Tamandua tetradactyla: one gene and its partner. The protein of the gene in region 2 interacts with the protein of the main gene of each other region in a pairwise test. Links are inferred from orthologs where the notes say so. Each region holds a gene or a part of one and is shown on either strand. Other genes may lie near its edges.

Evidence for each region.
Region 1: the proteins of EHMT2 (region 2) and KLF3 interact in binary tests that used the Homo sapiens proteins (3 or more experiments, as listed by UniProt). The two-hybrid records come from large-scale screens. The link is inferred for Tamandua tetradactyla from reciprocal best matches to the Homo sapiens genes EHMT2 and KLF3.

Annotation. Positions count from the first base shown.
Region 1 is NC_135345.1:40,245,385-40,254,950, forward strand, and holds the start of KLF3 (Krueppel-like factor 3), read left to right. Parts: upstream 1-5,766; 5' UTR 5,767-5,878; coding exon of another isoform or gene 5,879-6,111; 5' UTR 6,112-6,192; exon of another isoform or gene 6,193-6,632; intron 6,633-9,566. Other genes in the region: uncharacterized protein LOC143663134, read right to left, coding at 5,879-6,111. UniProt on the Homo sapiens protein: Binds to the CACCC box of erythroid cell-expressed genes. May play a role in hematopoiesis.
Region 2 is NC_135331.1:87,474,489-87,484,518, reverse strand, and holds the start of EHMT2 (histone-lysine N-methyltransferase EHMT2), read left to right. Parts: upstream 1-6,368; 5' UTR 6,369-6,376; coding exon 6,377-6,418; intron 6,419-7,065; coding exon 7,066-7,132; intron 7,133-7,220; coding exon 7,221-7,439; intron 7,440-7,545; coding exon 7,546-7,799; intron 7,800-8,738; coding exon 8,739-8,823; intron 8,824-8,908; coding exon 8,909-8,949; intron 8,950-9,106; coding exon 9,107-9,262; intron 9,263-10,030. Other genes in the region: ZBTB12 (zinc finger and BTB domain-containing protein 12), read left to right, coding at 2,746-4,125. UniProt on the Homo sapiens protein: Histone methyltransferase that specifically mono- and dimethylates 'Lys-9' of histone H3 (H3K9me1 and H3K9me2, respectively) in euchromatin.

The DNA of each region.
Region 1 (9,566 bases), on a different chromosome or scaffold from region 2:
ATGGTAGACTTTGCAGGACCTTGTAGGCCATTTTTAATGACTTTTATCTTTATTTTAACACTAGGAAACTGTCTTAAGACTTTGAAGCAGGGGGCGATATGACTCTATTTGCATTTTGAAAAAATTCATTCCGGTTGCAATATAGAGTGTGGGTTAGAAGGGGGCTAAAATGGATGCTGGTTGCCCAGTTAAGCGGCTACTGCAATTTAACTCCAGGTGACCAAATGGTAGTGGCTTGGACTACCATGGTGGTGGTAGAGATGGGAGATGTAGACAGATTCAAAAGATACTTAGGAAGTAAAATCAATAGGACTGGGTGGTAGATTGCCTGTGAGGGGGTATAGAAGAAGGGTGTTAAGATGACTTCTGGGTATCCACTGGCATGTTGTACTGTTTGAAGCTGTTAGAACAGAAAAAGCCATGTTCTAATCTAATCTTGTGGATGCAGACCTATTGTGGGTGGGACCTTTTGATTGGGTTGTTTCCCTTGGGTATCACCCACTCAATTGAAAGTGGGTTTTAATCCTTTTACTGAAATCCTCTATGACGAGAAAAAAAACCAGAAAACAGAGAGAACTCAGAGCCGACACAGAGAACAGAGAGATGAAACTAAGTGAAAGATGCTTAGAGAAAGAAAACCCCCACCAGAAGCCAGAGGACCCACAGTTGCTGAGAGATCCATTTTGAAACCAGCCCTGAAGAGAAGGGCCAGTATATAGCACCATGTTCTTCCTGTGTGTGCCAATTTGAAAGTGTAGTGTACCTGAGAAAAGACATGTCCTTTAATCTGGATTCAATATCGTAGTGTAAAAACCCTTTTGACTAGATCATCTCCAGAGATGTGATGCCCCAGTTGTGGGTGTGACCTTTTGATGAAATTATCTTTGCGAAGATATGGCATGCCCATTTGTCAGGTGTGGCCTTTGGTTAGATGGAGATGTGACTCTGCCCATTCAAGGGGGGTGGGTATTGATTAGTTTACTGGAGTCCTTTAAAATCAGAAATGTTTTGAAGAAACCTTGGATGCAGATGCTTGGAGAACAGTTGCTTCAGAGCTACAGAGACATGGATGTTGGGAGATGCTTGGAGTGCCAACAGAGAGAGCAGATGTCTAGACACAGGTAGAGTCCAGCAGACATCGCCACATGCTTTCCCATTAAATGCTAAGCAAGCAAGAACCCAGAGCTGTGTCCCAAAGGAGCTAAATGAATGCCCACAGACACTTAGAGAGGAAACCACTGGCATCAGGAGCTGGAAGCAACGGAACTGGGAACAAAGACCAGCAGATGCCAGCCACATACCTTTCTAGCTGACAGAGGTGTTCCAGATGGCATCAGCCTTTCTTGAAGGAAGGTAACCTCTTGTTGGCGCCTGAATTTGGGCATTTTCATGGCCTAAGAACTGTAAACTTGTAATGTAATAAATTCCATTTATGAAGCCATTCCATTTCTGGTATATTGCATTCCAGCAGCATTAGCTAACTAATATACCATAAGACAGAAATCCCAAAAGTGATCAGCCTTTTTGAATGAAGGTATCCTCTTGTTGTCTCAATTTGGGCATTTTCATGGCATTAGAATTGTAAATATGTAACCTAATAAATCCCTCTTGTAAAAGCCAATCCATTTCTGGTATATTGCCTTCTGGCATCATCAGCAAACCAAAACACACATGTAGATCAAGGTTCTCAGTGGTGGCACTACTGATACTTTGTAGAAGGCTATCTTGTGTGTTATAGCATATGTAGCAGCATCACTGGCCTCTATCCACTCAATGCCAGTAAGCCCCACCCCCAATCATGACAGCCAATGATGTCTCCAGACATTACCAAATGTCCCCTGAGGGAGGAACTGCCCCAAGTTAAGAACCACTGGTCTGGTTGGATGCTGGCTGGTATCATTTACCAAGACCATGAACACTGGAATTCCAGTGTTCATTACCTATGTATCAATAGGTACAATTGATACATTACCTATGTATCAGCAGGTTAATTAGGGCTTGGGCTATAGAATGTAACTAAAAGTTGCCTCAATAACACAGACATTAAATTCTCTCACATGACAATAAGTCAAGGGGGATTAATTCAGTAGCTCTGTGGGTATCTTAGCTTTCCCCTCATGATCAAAGATGGCTGCCACATCTTCAAGCATCACATCTTCACATAACACCTTCCAAACAGGTTCTGGAAGCTTATTCTCATAAGGGTCTCCTTTTGTCAGGGAGAAAAATATTTTCCATAAATAAATACAGCACACTTCTCTTCAGATTCCACTGGCCAGAACTAGGTCACAGACCTACTCCTCAACCAGGCACTAGCCAAAAGGACTGAGACTGCAATGACTGGCAGGGAGCAATGACGGTTCTTCCACTGATCCCAGGAGGGGCATCCTTCTTGAGCATATGCTGCCCAGAAGCCAAGCCAGACAGGGCTGCTGTTAACAAAGACAAAGGGTGAAGCAGCTGCTGCAAGGACCAAGCTTAAGGTATTTCATACAGCCATGATTTATTGAACACCTAACCATGGACAAGACACTGTGCTAAGTGTTAGGGAAGAAAACAAGACCTAGGCACCACTTTTATCATCTCACTCTGCTGCTTAAAAACATTCAGTGAAGGGAGCCTCATCCTCCTTCTGTTTCACTATTTCAAAGCCCTTGGGTTTTTCAAGGTATACATGTTCATGGCTGCTTGCTGCCCCAAAGCTTCCTCTCCCCTCTTGAGCTGAGAATGAATGACTTCTTCTAAATTCATAGAACACATTTATTCATTTTACAAATATTCGGGTTGAGCCTCTGGGCCCTGGGAATTCAATTTTGCTAAAAAGACAAGGTCCCTGCTCTCACAGTTTCCATCCTGGTGCCACAGAAAGATAACTAAATAGTCAACTACAAAAAGGCATGAAAAATGTTATAAGAGGTAAAACATGGGTACTGTCAGAGCATCAAGAAGGAAACCTCAACTCATCTGTAGGTGGGGTGGGAGTGAAGTTGAGAGAACACATATTTGGAAAGAAACATAATTTAAGTCGAGACTTGAAGGATGAACAGAATTCAGGGAAATGAGAATGGAGGTCAGAAGTTGGGGGAGGGCGGGCAATAGCGGCCCAGTGGCAGAGTTCTTGCCTGCCATGCCGGAGACCTGGGTTAGATTCCAGGTGCCTGCCCATGCAAAAAAAAAGTTGGGGGAGAAAGCAAGGAAGCTATACTACCTAGGAAAATGAGCATGTGCAAAAGGCCAGAGATGAGAAGAAGGAGGTGGAAAAATGCTCATTAACGCAAGAAGAGTGAGAAAGGGAGACCAAGGAAAGATGAGCCTGCAATATAGATACAGGCCAGGCCATGTAAGGTGGTAAGCCCTTGGACTTTATCCTAAAGGAATTCACTGAAGGGACTGACATGTGTGGGTATGCATTTTAGAAAAGACACTCTTACTCCATTGTTTCAATACCTTTCCACACTTTAGCCATGCTACAAACATGGTGATCAACAACAGGACACTGCAGCAATAGGGTGGACCAAGGTAGTGGTCAAGAAGTGGGTATGTGACTAAGCAGGTCCAGGATTCAGTGAATGATGAGCTGTGAGGAGTTCAGAAAGAAAAGGAGTCAAGGATGACACAGTTGTAGTTCTGGTCTGAGCAACTGGACGGATGGATGGTGGTGTCCTTCACTGAGTTAGTGAGCACTGGATGGACTTATTGTACAAGTTACCTTGAGGTGCCTCCCACAGGGCACTGAACACAGTGTGTTCATTAATTAACCTCCTTTTTATGGCTTTCCTCCTCCCTCTCAGGCCTTCCATATCAAAGCCCCTCCCTACTTATCTTGGATCACATTTCTCAGATAGACCTACTTCACTCTTCTCCCTTGGGTCCCCACCCACATGAACACTGTAACAACAACACCAAAAAATGGTTTATATGTTACAGGTTCTCATCACTATGTGTCTCTTAAATGCAGCCTGTATTTTTGGAGCATCTACTATGAACCAGGCACTGAAATGTAAACAATACCATCAGTCATCATTAGCATGATTTTTCGGCTTACACAATTCAAAGGCATCCAATCAGACATTTAATAATGTCAGTGATCAATTAATTGCAATTATAATTGACACGAACCCAGTATTTTTTGTTTTTATTCATTTATTCTTTTATTAAAAGACACACACACACAAACCTTACAACTCTTTACATTTTGAAGATTAATATTTAAATGATGGCACAAAATCCGTGTCAGTCTGGTCATTCTCCGCGTGATCTTTTATGTAAGTGCATTATTTACAATATGCAATTTCACTACTTGAGGTTACCCGGTACTAATTTTATAATACTGTGTAACTACATAATGGGGCATGGGGCTCGGAATATACAATATATAAGTAGTACCATGCCTGGATGAAGAATCAAAGAGAGAATGGTGAACTTAAAGGGCCTTTAAAACATCTTGAAGCAATAATAAGCCATAGATTGAAGCAGGGGCGTTTTAAAACAATTCGCAGGACTAAAACAATTGGCCCAATTTTTCCCTTTGTTCTTTTTATTGCCTTCTTTTTTTACAATAATACCATTTAAAAAGAAAATCAAAAGGCATCAAACTCTAGTACCAAACCATACAAAGTCCTCCAAGGACCTGGCTTGGATAGAAAGCGCCTTTCCACCGCCCTGCTTGGAACGCCCTGAAGGCCACTGAGCACGCTCGCGCTCGGTTCCAGGGAAGCAACGTGAAACTAAAGGTCCCCGATCCGAGCCCTTCCCCGGCCCCGGGTTCATGCATTGGGCAGGAGGATCCGGAACGAAGTTTGTCAAGTTTTCCCGCAGGCCGGGCTGAACAAATGCTGCCGCTCTGCAGCTGCCTTTCTGCCCCAGGGGCAGGCCAAGCCCGTGGGAGGTTTGCCCTGAGCGGGGCCTCCGGCCGCTCAAAAAAGCAACAAGGGGGTCCCGGAGCCCCGGGGCACAAAGAAAGAGCGCGCCAAGAGGATGTCGAACGACCCTGGAAATTCTGGACCATTTAGGCTTGGGGGCAACCCACCGTTCCCCTTTCCCCTCCGCCTTCTTTCCCTGAATCCGTTCCCGTCCACCCGCTCCCACACCACCGATGCCTTTTTTCTTTCTTTCTTTTTATAATTTCAGAGAGTTTTATTTACTCGGCCCAGGAGGGGCCGCGCTGGCCTTGGGGCCCAGCCCTTCCCGCCGCGCCCGGGGCCGCCCTTCCCGCCGGAGCCGGCTGATTGATGGCCCCGGCCGGCCCGCGTCCCCCGCCTCGGCTCGCCCGCGAGTCTAAGGCTGTGTGTTTTGGAAGCCGCGCAGCGGGTTGCAGCACTGTGACGCCCGGAACGGGCAGCGCCGCCCTTCCTTTCCCCCGGGCTCGGGCGGCGGCGCGGCGGCGGGTCCCAGGCGGGTGGGGCGCGGGCCCCAGGGAGGAGGGCGGAGGGCGCTGGGCGGAGGGTGCGGGGATGGGGCACGGGCGGGGCCTCCGGGGCGAGGGCGCAGGGCGTGCGCTCAGGGTCCGCCGCTCCGAGCCAGGGCGGGGGGCGGGAGCTTTTGGGGCGGGGGCCGCGCAGTGCACGCCCAGCCCCACGGCTGCGCCGCGCCTCGCGGGACAGGTTTGGCCGGCGGGGCGGCGCCCGGCTCCGGGGAATAATGACTGTCTGTCAGGCCGTCCCCGGGTGACTGGGCGGGGCGGGGCGGAGGCGGCGCGGGAGGCGGGGGTGGCGGGGGAAGGGCGCAGGGCGGGGTGCGTGTTTGCGCGAGTGACTCGGCCGACCCCTCCGGCGGCTGCCTCCACCCAAGTGGGTGGGGACCCGCCCAGCCCGGGCGGCCGCGGCGGCTCCCTCTCCCCTCCCTGACCCTCCCACCCCGGGTTCCAGCCTCTACTTACCCCGCCAGCCTCGGGAGGCTCGCAGAGAGAGCGGCGCCGGCGTCATGTGACTGCCCGGAGTTGGTGCCAGGAGCCAGAGGGGAGCCAGGAACGGAGCCGCGCGGAGCCGGGCCGGAGCCGGAGCGCAAAGCAAGCGCCCGCCGAGCCGAGCCGAACCGAACCGCGTCTGTCGCACGCGCGCGCGTCCGGGTCCCCTGCGGCCGCTGCCGCTGCCCGAACTGGAGCGCTGACATTACTGCATTCGTGGGGTTTAAGGAAGCCCGGAGCCGGGCCTTTATTTATCGTCCGCTGCGCTCAGCACCGCGGTTCTCAAAGTAAGTCCTCACTCCCTCACTTTTCTTTCACGCCTGACTCCAATCGACCCCCTTTTCGTCGTGTCTAGTTGAATATTTTTAATAGGGGGGTAGTGAATGGGCTTGGGACGGTGCAGCGTGGGGGTGGGGGCGCCTGCGGGCTTGGGAAAGTGCAACAGCTCCTCGCTGCCGGGGGTGGGGGCGGAGAGGGAGGCGAGGGGGAGGAGGCCCCGGGCTCAGCGGTCACAAGTGGGACCGGTCACGGTGAGGGAATCCACGGCGCGTATCCGGAGGTTCAGGGGCGTGGGGCTGCCTGCGCCGGCCACGGCCCCCCAGACAGCCTCCGGCCCGGGGACGGCGCAGGCGGGGCCTCACCTGTGTGGTCCCCGGGCCGCCGCCTGCCCGCCCGCGATTCCCTCCAAAGCCCCAGAAATCAGCGTTCGCCGCGTGTGGCAACGTTGTTTGGAGAAAGGTAGCGCCGAGGCCGCCGCGCGCTCCTGCTCCTCCCCTTCCCGGTTCCCCCCCCCCCCCGGCTCCCTCCCCCCCCCCCGGTTCCCCCCACTCCCGCTCCCTCCCCTCCCTCCGCGGGTGCCCCCAGCTATCCCCCTGCCGGACTGGGCGCGCGGCCGCTTGCCCGGCGGAGCAAACTTGGAGCAGCCTCCAGGCCGTCTGGGAGGAAACTTGGGCAATTGGGAGTGGAGTTAGCATCCCGTTCTCGGTCCAGGGCTCCAGGCGCTGCAGGGCGTCCGGATTCTCCTGGGCAGGGGAAAAGAGCTGGCCGGGTTTGGAGAGTCCTCCTCGGGACCCGGAAAGAACCTGCCGCAGTGCCTGGAAGGAGGATTGCAGTGTAGCTGGAGGCGTATAGAGTACCTTAGGGCAAATGCCTGCAGCTTTAGGGACCCGAGCCAGGTGTGGGCCGAGAAGTGATCCCTGGACCAGCACCCATGGGACGTACCCAGCATTTCAGGCTCTTTTTCTGTGATAGCAGATAATACTTGTAATTGTCATGTCCGTGTCCTTGGCACTTAAACGGGAGAACCCTCTTTTTCTGGTTTAAATTTTACAGTAGTGTACAATAATACCAAACGGAGAACATGTGAATGGGACTTACTTTTAAGTCAGGTTAAATGGAAATTGCTTCCCTTCTTGTAGTCACTAAAATAAACGTTTTCACAGATTTTTTTAACTGATTTTTTTTTCCATTGATACACCCAAGACGCTTTAAATATATTGATTATGTTCTTAAAAGAGTCTGGTATCTGGGGAAAAGTGATCTTCTGACTTCATTAGATTTACCATCTGTAATTACTAAGCAAAATCAAGTGGGGAAAAGGCCAGTTGCTTATTATCATAGGGTGTTCCACAGAGCAGTTTTGCACTGTCCTTTTCTGATTGCTTTATGTATGAATTTGAGGAGAAATTTTATAAGAGAAATCCGTTTAGATGATAGTGAAGACTTGCTTTGGGGTCGGAGGTGGGGAGCAGAAATCTAATAGCATTAATATCTCCAAAATTTTGTGAGTTCGTATTTTTAAAGAAAGTTGACAGATAAGTTTTTTTCTGGCTTGAGACAAGCAGTATGTGAGTTGGCCTTGGGCTATTAATAGGAACCTCAGAGTGTTTGATTAATTTAAACTTTCTGCAGAAACTGATTTCTCTGTTTCTGTATTCTTCAGGGTTTGCTGTATAACCATTAGAAAAATAAAAAAGTGGCTGCTTAGACCACAAAACCTTGTCCATATGAAAAAGCAACATAGCTTTGACAAAAGCTATTGTGTGTTTTTTTTTTCACTGCAAAGTTTCTAAGTTAAAACCCAGTCTTTTGGTTGCTATGGGCACAGTGATGCCTTTTTTTTTGAACCTGTAGTTTTGTCTACCCACAGATCCTTAAATCTCTGGTAATGAAAAGCTGAGTTAAACAGTCAGAGAGTAAAGAGAAATAATAGGAAAGAGCTAGGAGTGGATTTCTCTACTTTAAAAATTCCTAAAAGAAAACAGACCTATTACTATCTTTTAAAAGTCGGTATACAGATTGTATAACAATTTTGGATTAAGTGAAATGTCAGGGATGGAATCACATTATCCAAGGTGAATTTCTGTAGACGTGTGTACATTGAAACAGATGTGCAGCTGTGAGCGTATGTGTCTATAACTGCAGGTGGAAAAGGACAGTGAAAACTTGGGGTGACTCTAGATGTGCCACAGACCACGTCTCGGAATTTAGTTCTGTGACTGAGGGACCCTTAAAATGGATCTAATTTTCAATTATGTGTGGTAACCTAGTTGTAATCTTAATTCTTAACAGCAGTGCTCTATTTTCATTTTCCTCAAGATGCTCTGAGCCAGAATGATAATCATCATTTGATCAGGCTAGAGACCAGCTATTGGCATGGGGGAGAAAGGGACAAAAGAAATCCGGAGGGAGGCTGGTGTTAATTATGAAGGTCTCTGCTGCTTGAATATGATAAAATCACATGTTCACTTATGATGTTTACTGTATGTAGCAGCTCCTATTTGTAAATAGGGCAGGTCCCCTGTATAAAACTGGTGTTATTATTCACACCCATAGAACAAACACCTCCACCCCCCTGTTGTTGTCTTAAAAAACTCCAGCTGCTCATGAATATAGGGTCAGGGAGGGCCGGCTAAATGTTTCTCTGTGCTTTCTCTCCAGCACAGCCAGCAGAGCTGTTTCCTGTTCTTTGTTTCAAGGCTGGGGTTTGCGTCATACATTCCAAGTGGCATATGTGTGCTCTTTCCTGTTTCAGGCTGCTTTCTGGTAGATCAGTAGCCCAGTCTGGGCCATGGTCCCTGCCCCTCAACTCCATATCCACCCAGGGAGTTATCATGTCTCTAACACTTGCGATTGCTTAAGATGCCTGTGTTATGTCATAATGAGGAGTCAGTTAACCTTTTAACATATACCCTTTGCCCCAGTGTGTTTATATGGGTAAATAAATACTTTTACCTTTCATTATTATTGTTGTTGTTGTTGTTGTTGTTGTTGTTATTGTCATTGCCAGATCATTAATTTAAAAAAAATTGTGTTCATAATGGTGAAGAAATCTTTTTTTAAAAGTTGGTTTCTGTTCTTTTGTTTTTTAATTCTTGTTTTGAAATGGCTAATGTGTATGTTTGTTTTGACATAGGCATTTTGCCCTGAAGGTATCAATTTTGGATTGGTGTTAACACTTTAGAGTTTAGAATACTTTTGCATTATCTGAAAGCTGGGGCCCACCCTCTTCACATCCTGGGCAGCAGGCTCAAGGTTTAGGAGGCTTCTTTAGATGGGGAATTTAAACAATCTTGGCCAACTTGGATGTGCTCACTTAGGTTTTAAAGAAGAAATCTTTAGAAAAATGATTGAAGGAGAACATTGAATATATTGAGAAAAT
Region 2 (10,030 bases):
GGAAAAAAAAAAAACACAGCCTCCTGAACTTACTACTTATTTCTATGTTAATCTGTATCTGGGTAGGGCTGGGCAATTCACCTGCCCTCAAGGGCTATAGGTTGGCATTAGGCGCCCTGTCCAATGCACTTCCAGAAAGGAGAGCAGCAAGAAGTGTACAGGATACGTAACTTTATAAATCCAAATTCTTAAATTGACAGCTTTTTGCTCTCACTGGAGTGTGGACTATTCTTTTGAGAAGTCTGGCAATGAGGAATGAGAAGGTGGGATAGTGAAATTATTTTTAGTTAAAAATTCTTTTGAAAATTTCAGTCCATCTCCCACCTAGGGAAAAGGGAAAGGGAACTAGTGTTGATTAAGCACCTACTGTATGCCAGGATCATTTAAACCTCACATTAGTCCCAGGAGGAATCTTTACCTTCAATTCAAAGATAAAGAGGTTTATCAGAAAACAAAGTACCTTGCCCAAGAGCCCTCCTTTAGTAAATAGTGAGATAAAGCTTTGAGCCAAGGTGTGTCTGACTCAAAAGCCCCTATGTTTTCCCTCGAATCCACACTGCCTGACCACAAAGGAGAGAAAGGGAAGGTGGCATTTTAGAATAGAAAGCAACAGGAGGTGTAAAAGTCAGAGAATTTATAAGTGAAAGGCAAAGAGTCAAGGCACCACCCAAGCACTGCCCCAGCCCTCCCACCAAAGAACATCCTTTGATTTTGGGAATTTAGTTTAAGTCAGGAATAAACTTTTTATGGATGGATTCTGGCTGAACTGAAGAGGATGACCTCAACAGTTAGCCTTTTTTTGCGAGACTTCTATTTGCAGAACATAAGCTACCACATAATTCCTTCAATCAAGTTTACAATTTAATGGGAAAACCAGACATTGAACTCTATAATGCATCTTCATCAGAATTGAGGTATAAGAAAAATGCTCTAGTCTTCTAGAAGACGTAATAAGCAAATCCAATTGGTAGGAAACAGGAGCATCTTCACCTGGACTTGGATGAATGGAGAAGTGAGTGTAGGTGTGAGGAGTGCAAGGAAGAGGAGGGGAAGGGAGACTTTAGTACAGTTAGGGAGTTACAAAGAGAAGGCAAAGGAGCAGAGTTGAGGGGAAGTTTGTTTAAGGCGTCAGTCTGAGGAAGGGAGGTGGGTGGAGGGGCAATTGCAACCGAAAGAAGAAAGATAGTGGGATCATAGTAATATAAATAATCGTATAATTAGAAGAATTAGTGCTAGGGCTAATTATATAGTAGGAGTGAAATAGGCAAGGTCATAGTGCAAGTGAAGGGCGTTTGTCTTGGCAAGAAGTTGGGCTTAATTCTGAGACTGGACGGGAGGAGAGGATGGATGTGATTTTAAGCGATTGTGAGATGGAGGGGAGGAAAGTTGAGGGCACTGAATTGTCAGGCTTCGTGGAAAGCGAAGTTATCAGCTAGAAGGGCGGGGGTGGTTGCTAGCTTCAGAAGAGTGGGAAAAATCTGGAAGTGTGGCTGGAGGAACTGGGAACACACTCAAAAGGAGATACACGCGTGGAAACAGCGATCAACAGCTCCGATACTCGCCGGGCGGTTTAGGGCCCTGGGATAGGCCGCGATTCTACCACGGTCTCCAGCGCCGCACAGGTGGACCAAAGCGGCACCACTTCTGGGAGCAGGTGGCAGCCAGGCCAGCGGGATGCCAGGCCCACTGGGAGCCAGGCGGACGCTCAAAGCTGGAAGGCGGGGTGCGGAGCGGGTAGCGCCGCTGGCCGCCGGGAGCAGGAGGCGGGCCGGAGCAAGCGAGCCTCCGCGCGGCACTTGGCACGCACGCGCAGACGGACCGCGGGGCCTGGAGGCACAGAGGAGGGGGAGCGAGAAAGAGCGGGGAGTGGAACGTATTTCCGCTCTGGCGGACAAATAATCTCGGCCAAAGGGGAGGCAAGGCCGTCCGGCCCCTTTAACCGCGTCAGGGGGGGCTGGTGAAGAAAGGGGGGTCGGGAAGGGGGGATCCTGCTCCTTTAATTCCCTCCCCTCTTCCTCCTCCCCGAGTCCTCGCCGCCGCCGCCGCCGCGCGCGGGGCCTGGGACACACGGCACGAGCCGCCCCCGCCCCTCCCCCTTACACCCACGCGGAGCCGGCCACGCGCGCGCGCCCCGTGCACCCCCGCGCCTGCGCGTTGCCCAGGCCCTGCCCGTGTGTGGGGGGCGCCGCCAGCCCCGGGGGGGTGGGGGAAATAGGGGGGAAAAAACAGCGCGCGGAACCCTGCCAGGTGAGAGGCGCGTGCATTTAGGGTCGTGGGGCTGGGGGGCGTGCCACGGACCTGGGGGGTGGCGTGCACGATGCGTGCAGACGGCAGGAGGGGGGAACGTGAAAGGCGCGTGCAAACGTGCAAAGGGGGGGCGGAGGAACGAGGCTGCGGGTAAAGGGGGCGGGGTGAGAAGAACCTGCAACCCGGGCCGCCCCGGAGCCCAGAGTCCCAGGTCTCTACCCCCCCTCCCTCAGTTCCTCCCCAGTGGGCTCGCGGGCTTGCCCGATGCTCGCCGGCGGCCCCGCCCCCGGCAACCACGCCTCCTTCTCGCAGGGGCCCAGCGACTCCCCTGGCACTGGGGAAACTGAGGAAGAGTCCTGAAGTCTTGTGGATAGGGTGTTGGGGATAGGAGGTCGAGCAAGAATGGAGGTGCGGGGCCTAGAGCCACGGCTTCGGAGAGCCAGAGACCTTTGTCTCTGACCATTTTCCTTCCCAACTAGGGTTGCCCCCTCCGCCACAATGGCCTCTGGGGTGGAAGTCCTGCGCTTCCAGCTGCCGGGCCATGAGGCCGCTACACTGCGGAACATGAACCAGCTCCGCGCAGAGGAGCGGTTCTGCGACGTGACCATTGTGGCCGACAGCCTCAAGTTCCGCGGCCACAAGGTCATCCTGGCCGCCTGCTCGCCGTTCCTGCGGGACCAGTTCCTGCTGAACCCCAGCTCTGAGCTGCAGGTCTCGTTGATGCACAGTGCGCGCATCGTGGCGGACCTGCTCCTCTCCTGCTACACTGGTGCCCTGGAATTTGCCGTCAGGGACATCGTCAACTATCTGACGGCTGCCTCCTACCTGCAGATGGAGCACGTGGTGGAGAAATGCCGGAACGCCCTCAGCCAGTTCATCGAGCCCAAGATTGGCCTCAAAGAGGACGGGGTCAGCGAGGCCAGCCTCGTGAGCGGTGTCAGCGCTACCAAGTCCCTCCTACCTCCTGCCAGGACCCCAAAGCCGGCCCCCAAACCCCCTCCTCCACCTCCTCTGCCCCCTCCGCTCCTGCGCCCTGTGAAGCTGGAGTTCCCGCTGGATGAGGACCTGGAGCTGAAGGCGGAGGAGGAGGACGAGGATGAGGACGAAGACGTGTCTGACATCTGCATTGTCAAGGTGGAGTCCGCCCTGGAGGTGGCGCACCGGCTCAAACCCCCCGGAGGCCTGGGAGGAGGTCTGGGCATCGGAGGATCCGTGAGCGGCCATCTCGGGGAGCTGGCCAAAAGCAGCATGCCCCCCAGTGCCGTGGCCCCGCCGCAGGGTGTGGTGAAGGCATGCTACAGCCTTTCTGAGGATGCAGAAGGGGAGGGCCTGCTGTTGATCCCAGGGGGCCGGGCCAGCGTGGGGGCCACTTCGGGTCTGGTGGAGGCGGCAGCAGTGGCCATGGCTGCCCGGGGGGCGGGGGGCAGCCTGGGGGCGGGGGGCAGCCGGGGGCCCCTGCCCGGGGGTTTCTCGGGTGGGAACCCCCTGAAGAACATCAAGTGCACCAAGTGCCCGGAAGTGTTCCAGGGCGTGGAGAAGCTGGTCTTCCACATGCGGGCGCAACACTTCATTTTCATGTGCCCGCGCTGCGGTAAGCAGTTCAACCACAGCAGCAACCTCAACCGCCACATGAACGTGCACCGCGGCGTGAAGTCGCACTCGTGCGGCATCTGCGGCAAGTGCTTCACGCAGAAGTCCACGCTGCACGACCACCTCAACCTGCACTCGGGAGCTCGGCCCTACCGCTGCTCTTACTGCGACGTGCGCTTCGCCCACAAGCCCGCCATTAGGCGGCACCTCAAGGAGCAGCACGGCAAGACCACCGCCGAGAACGTGCTGGAGGCCAGCGTGGCTGAGATCAACGTCCTCATCCGCTAGTGGGCCCGGGGCCCCTGGGCTCGGTGGGAAGGGTCTAGGAGAATGGGGGGGGGGGGGTCTGGGGCAGGAAAGTATGGCGGGGAACCTAGCCAGACATATCCTGAGGGAGGGGCCGAAGATTCCTTGGAGAGAAGACCCTGCCTCTTCACAGCGGGGAGTGGGGGGGAGAATGAAGGAGATGGGGAGAGGGTTTTTTGAGGTCAGGGGATCCGGAGTCCCAGAGAAAGATTGTCTCTAAGAAGTGCATGGATATATGGAGGGAGGGGGAGGGTCCTATAGAATGAGGAGAAAAAAGACTGGAGCTTGTGTTATTCTGGGTTAAAGGCTGCCCAGGAGGAGATTCTGACATTTCATGAGGTGGGTTTGGGTGGGTGGGAATCGGGAGGGAACTGGGCAGGAGGCAGCCTACATGCTCCTGTTTAGAATAGACCCTCAGCAGAGGGAATGGTAGGGGAGAAGAGTATTGAATCCCAGAAAAGAAACGGGGAAACGGTTCTTGCATGCTGGGGGTTGGGGACTTTGGGTACAAGGCTCTCCAAAATTCTAGGGAGAACGAAGTAAGAAGTCAGGTAAGAGAATATGGAGGTGAGCATCCTGGGTAGATATTGGGAAGTGGGGGTATAATAGCGAGAACAGTGTGAATAGTGGCAGGGGTGGGGGGAGGGCACTTAGAAGAGAGGACACAAGGGCTGTTGGGGGGGGAAGGAGTAGAGACTTATACAGTATTTTTTAAAAAAACAAAACGTATTTTTTAGGATTTTTTCTGGAGTTTGGGGTTTTAGTTTTTCTGCTTTTATTTTCAACAAAAAATAAAAAAAAAAACCACCTTTTTTTCTTTATACTCTGGCAACTGCGTGTCTATGACCAACCCTTTTTCTTTATTCAGTTCTCTGACTGCCCCACCCTAGACAGCCTCTCCCTCTAATGTGGCATGCTCAATACCTGGAGATCACAACTCCTGCAGGTCCCATCCCCGAAGGACCCCAGCCTGTAACAGGGAAGGGAGAGTGTAACAAGTGTGCTCCTCTCGCCAGGGACTCTTGTCAGTTCTGTAACCTCAGCACCTTGCAAGATACCCCATAGCACCACAAGTGCAGTGGTTGTTTGGTAGTGGCTGGGATGCACCTGAGTTGCTTTTCTATTTGATGAGTTCGGTATTAGGACTAGGGATAGGTTATACAGGGGGGTCAGTATGTCCACTGAATTATAAGCAGAATTCCGGGTTTGGGCAATTTTTGTCTAGGTAGTAGGTACAGTTTCCAGGGAAAAGTGAACAACCGCTACATTTGGGTTCTGGTGCAAGGAAGACTACAATTCCCAGAAAGCTATGGAATAGGTCTTAACCAAAGAGAACTACAGTTCCCAGAAGGCCTTGAATTGGCCTCAGGTGCCCCTTATCTCAACCACCTACCTGTGTCCAATACTTCCTGTGAAATCGTTATCTTCCAAATTTAGCCAGAATGCCATACCTAAAGGGGTGGTACTTTAGTGCTCGAGGTTGTACATTTTGGTGCAATATCATTCCTACTTTCATTGATAGCTAGGCTATGACTCATGGAGTGTCTGATTTTGCTTGTGAAGTGTTTAGGAAGTGAAAAAAAGGGTAAATGCAGTGTCAATTGGTAGTAATGATTCTTGGGCTGCTGGGGCTTACCTGGATCCCTAGTGCATGTGATGCAGTAACATGCCCAGCATAAACACAAGAGACATTTAGTCTCAGGTTTTCAAAAGGGGACGCTACTAGAGGGGACAAGAAGCAGCAAGGCCACACTAGCAGAGCGTGTAAGTGTTCTCGGCGCATCCCCATCGCCCCCTTCTTGCTCCTTAGAGAAGCGAGGCCAAAATTACGGCTGAGCCTTCTAGTCTGGTGACCCAGAAACCAGAAAGAGAAAAGAGCAACCAGAAGTGGGAGAAGCACACGCGGGCCGGATAAAAATACAGCCGAGGCCAAGAATCAGGAGGGTCAGACTCTCCGTTTGTTACCTAAAACCAGGTACGCACGGAAAGGCCACACTTGGGCCCAGGCGTGCGTCGCCCTCGGTTCTCCGCAGAGCTGAGGCCAGGAAGGGCAGCAATTGTCGCCTACGGCCTGGAGCTTAGAACAACCACCGCCATCTCCAAGGCAGCTCTCGGGGGAAAATGGCCAGAAAAGCGCTGTGCGGCGCCTTTAAGACCCCTCCTCGCCCTCCCTCCCCCCGCCCACGTGACCCGGGGCGGCCGCGCGCCGGCTCGGCCCCCCGCGCGAGCGGCGATGGCGGCGGCGGCGGGAGCTGCAGCGGTGGCGGCCGCCGAGGTGCGGAAGGGGAGGGGGAGAGGCGGGTGCATGCCCGCGCGCGCGCCCGGGGGAAGCGCGCGCCCGTGCAATGCTCCGGGGGTGCAACGGGGCCGGGGGGCCCGGGCGGGACTTGCAGCAATCTGGGGGGCCAACACCGGGGGCGGATGAGGGGACCAGGGGGTGGGAGGTGGGGGGAGTGGGCACGGAGGCGCGCGTGCAGCCGCCGGCTGCCCCCGAGTGGGCGGCGGGCGCCGGGGCCCCAGCGACACGCGCGAGGGGCACGAGGGGCCGTCCGCCAGGCTGGGGGGCAGCGGGCGCTGGAGGGGTTGGTGCCCGGGGTCCCCGCGGCCTGGGGGACAAAGGGGGAGCGGCGCGTGCAGCCGGGAGGAGGGGGCGGGGCCGGGGCGCGGAGGCCCCGCCCCCTCCCCCTCCTCTCCTCTCGGCCCCAGAGATGCGGGGTCTGCCGAGAGGGAGGGGGCTGATGCGGGCCCGGGGGAGGGGTCGTGCGGCCCCTCCGGGCAGCCGAGGCCGCGGAAGGGGGGGGGGCCCATAGGGGAAGAGGTAGGCCCCGGAGCCTGCTGTCTCTTCCCAGAGCCCAGGCGTCCTGGGCCCCCCAACTCCCTACCGGCCTGACCAGCCCTCCCGTCCCTTGTCTCCCCTCCCAGGGGGAGACCCCCGCTGAGGTGGGGGCACTGCTGCTGGAGAAGGAGCCCAGAGGAGCCGCCGAGAGAGGTGAGTGTGCAGCTGAAACGGGCCCAGTTGGACCTTCACCTCCCCCAATATAGCCCTTAGCTCTGTACTTTTTTCTCTTCCTCTTTAGTTCATGGCTCTTTGGGGGACACCCCTCGTAGTGAGGAGACCCTGTCCAAGACCACCCCCGACCCCCTGGAGCCAGCTGGCCCCTCATCCCCAGCCTCTGTCACTGTCACCGTTGGCGATGAGAGGGCTGATACCCCTGTGGGGGCCACACCGCTCATTGGGGATGAACCCGAGAGCCTCGAAGGAGATGGGGACCTCCATGGTGGCCGCATCCTGCTGGGTGAGAGGCTGGGGGTGGTGGGGGGGTGGAGGTGGGGGCGGGGCAGCCTTTGACTCTGCCTTCGCTCTTATCTTGCCTTCTGCCTGTCTGCCTGACTGTTTTTTAGGCCATGCCACAAAGTCATTCCCCTCCTCCCCCAGCAAGGGGGGCGCCTGTCCCAGCCGGGCCAAGATGTCAATGACAGGGGCTGGCAAGTCCCCCCCCTCAGTCCAGAGCTTAGCTATGAGGCTGCTGAGCATGCCAGGTGCCCAGGGAGCAACAGCAGCAGGGCCTGAGCCCCCTCCGGCCACCCCCAGTCCAGAGGGGCAGCCCAAGGTTCACCGAGCCCGGAAAACCATGTCTAAACCTGCCAATGGACAGGTAAGAAGTGGGGGGTGGGGGGTGGGGCGATCAACTGCCAGGAAACTCTTGTGGGCTTTTTTTACAACTTGGTTTCAGGCGTCTTCTAGTTCAGTCACGTGTTCACATATGGTTTCAAGGGACTGGGCCAGGGAGCTTAATTCTTGAACACACGTCTTTGTGTCTTTCTGGAGTTTCACGTCCTTGGAGAGGAAGACAGAGACAGGTTTAAAGAGTTAATTATATAGTCAAAGGTCTTACTTACCTTTATGATAATGACTATGTAAAGGAACTTGAAACCACCCTTCCTTTCTGCCTCAAAGCCAGCCCCCAGGGGAATTTTTTTTCTCCTTTCTTTGAAGCTGCCCCTGCTCCGTTTTAAATTCCTGGGAATCCCTATGAGGAAGGACTACAGAAATGAGTGGAGGGAAATGACAATGGCCCCAGAATCTCAGAAACTTTATGGCCGGGTTTTAAGGACTCTTGATAACATTCTGTCCTGGCTGTGGTTTGGGCAGCCTCAGTCAGGTCTTTCATCTTGTGTGTGTGTGTGTGTGTGTGTGTGTGTGTGTGTGTGTGTGTGTTAAAATATATACAATGTAACATTTCCCATTTTAACCACTTTGAATTGCTCAACTTGCTGGTATTGATTACATTCATAACGTGTGACCATCAACGAGGATCTTTAATCTGTAAAGTTTGTTTTCTCATCTTAAAAATGGGAGAACGACCCCTGCATCTGGGTGGCTGAAAGATAAGTGATGGTTGGTGGTGGGGGATGTGCTTGACATCCTCCTCTGAGGCAAACAGCCCTTGGTATTGCTACATACTCGTTCCTGGAGACCCAGATGGCATTTTTAAGGGTGTGGCCCGCCAATCCAGCCCCACCAAGGGCTCCAGGCTACTGTGCAGAACTGTAGGTATTCCCTTCTCCTAAGTGTGCTCCCTCTCGGCCCCCAGCCCCCTGTCCCCGAGAAGCGGCCCCCTGAAGTGCAGCATTTCCGCATGAGTGATGACGTGCACTCCCTGGGGAAGGTGACCTCAGGTCAGTCCCACCCCCCACCCACTGCAGCCTGATGTGGCCTGTCCGCAGGATTTCGAGTACAAGCCTCACTCCTCTCTCCTTCCAGATGCCGTCAAAAGGAGGAAACTGAACTCTAGAGGCAGCCTGGTGAGCCAGGAGAGGCAGGGAGCGAAGCCTCTCCACCTGGGGTTGGGGTGGGGCTGCTTCAGGGGTGCCCAGGCCTGGGACCCGACTCTGGGTGCTCAGGGGAGGTGAAAGTTGGTGAGGAGTGCCAGCGACGTCAGTTTTTCTGCTCTTTTTCTAGTCGGATGAGTTGGCTTCTGCCCGGGGCTCAGGAGAAGTGACTCTGGAGAAGGGGGACCCTGGGCCCCTGGAGGAGTGGGAGACAGTGGTGGGAGATGACTTCAGTCTCTACTATGATTCCTACTCTGTGGACGAACGCGTGGACTCTGACAGCAAGGTGAGATGGAGCTGGCCGGCCTCCCCCAGCCCCCCTCCACCACAGCCTGGGTTCACTGGCCACACTTTCCTCCCCCCTCCCCCATTCATTTTGCGCCCATTCATTCACTGCCTAATACTACCTATAACTTACTCCCAGGGTTATTTCCCATGCCATCCCTTGACCCTTTTCACAGAGGCCACCACCATCCTGGACACTGGGTTTAACATTCTATTTGTTGTTTAATTGTCACTAGTTTGCAGTTTTTTATTTCCTTGCTCTAGCCTCACTCCAGTACATACCTACTGGATTATTTTAAAGCTAAATCCCAGACATCATATCATTTTATCTATAAATATTTCCACCTGCATCTCTAGGTACTAGGCCTCTTCTTTCTACCACTCCATTACTATTTTCACACCAAAAAAAGTTTACCGATGATTCCTAAATCCTATAAAATATCTGGTTGCTGTTCATGATTCCTTAATTAGTTCATAAATGGGTTTTGTTTGTTGAGATCCAAATGAGGTCCACGCGTTGGTTAGATTGACATTTGTCTTAGATCGCTCTTGCTAAGTAGTTTCCCCCTCTTTCCTGAAATTTTTTCCTTGCTATTTCTTGTAAGGAAACCAGGTTAGTTATCTTACTAAGTGTGGATTTCTTAGTTAGGAGTTGGCTTATTGTGGTGGGGTTTTGACATGTCCCTCTTGACCCCTTATTTTTTGTAAACTAGATCTACAAGTGTGCTCAGCTTTACTTTGCAAGAAGACCTGATAACTGGTGCCAGGT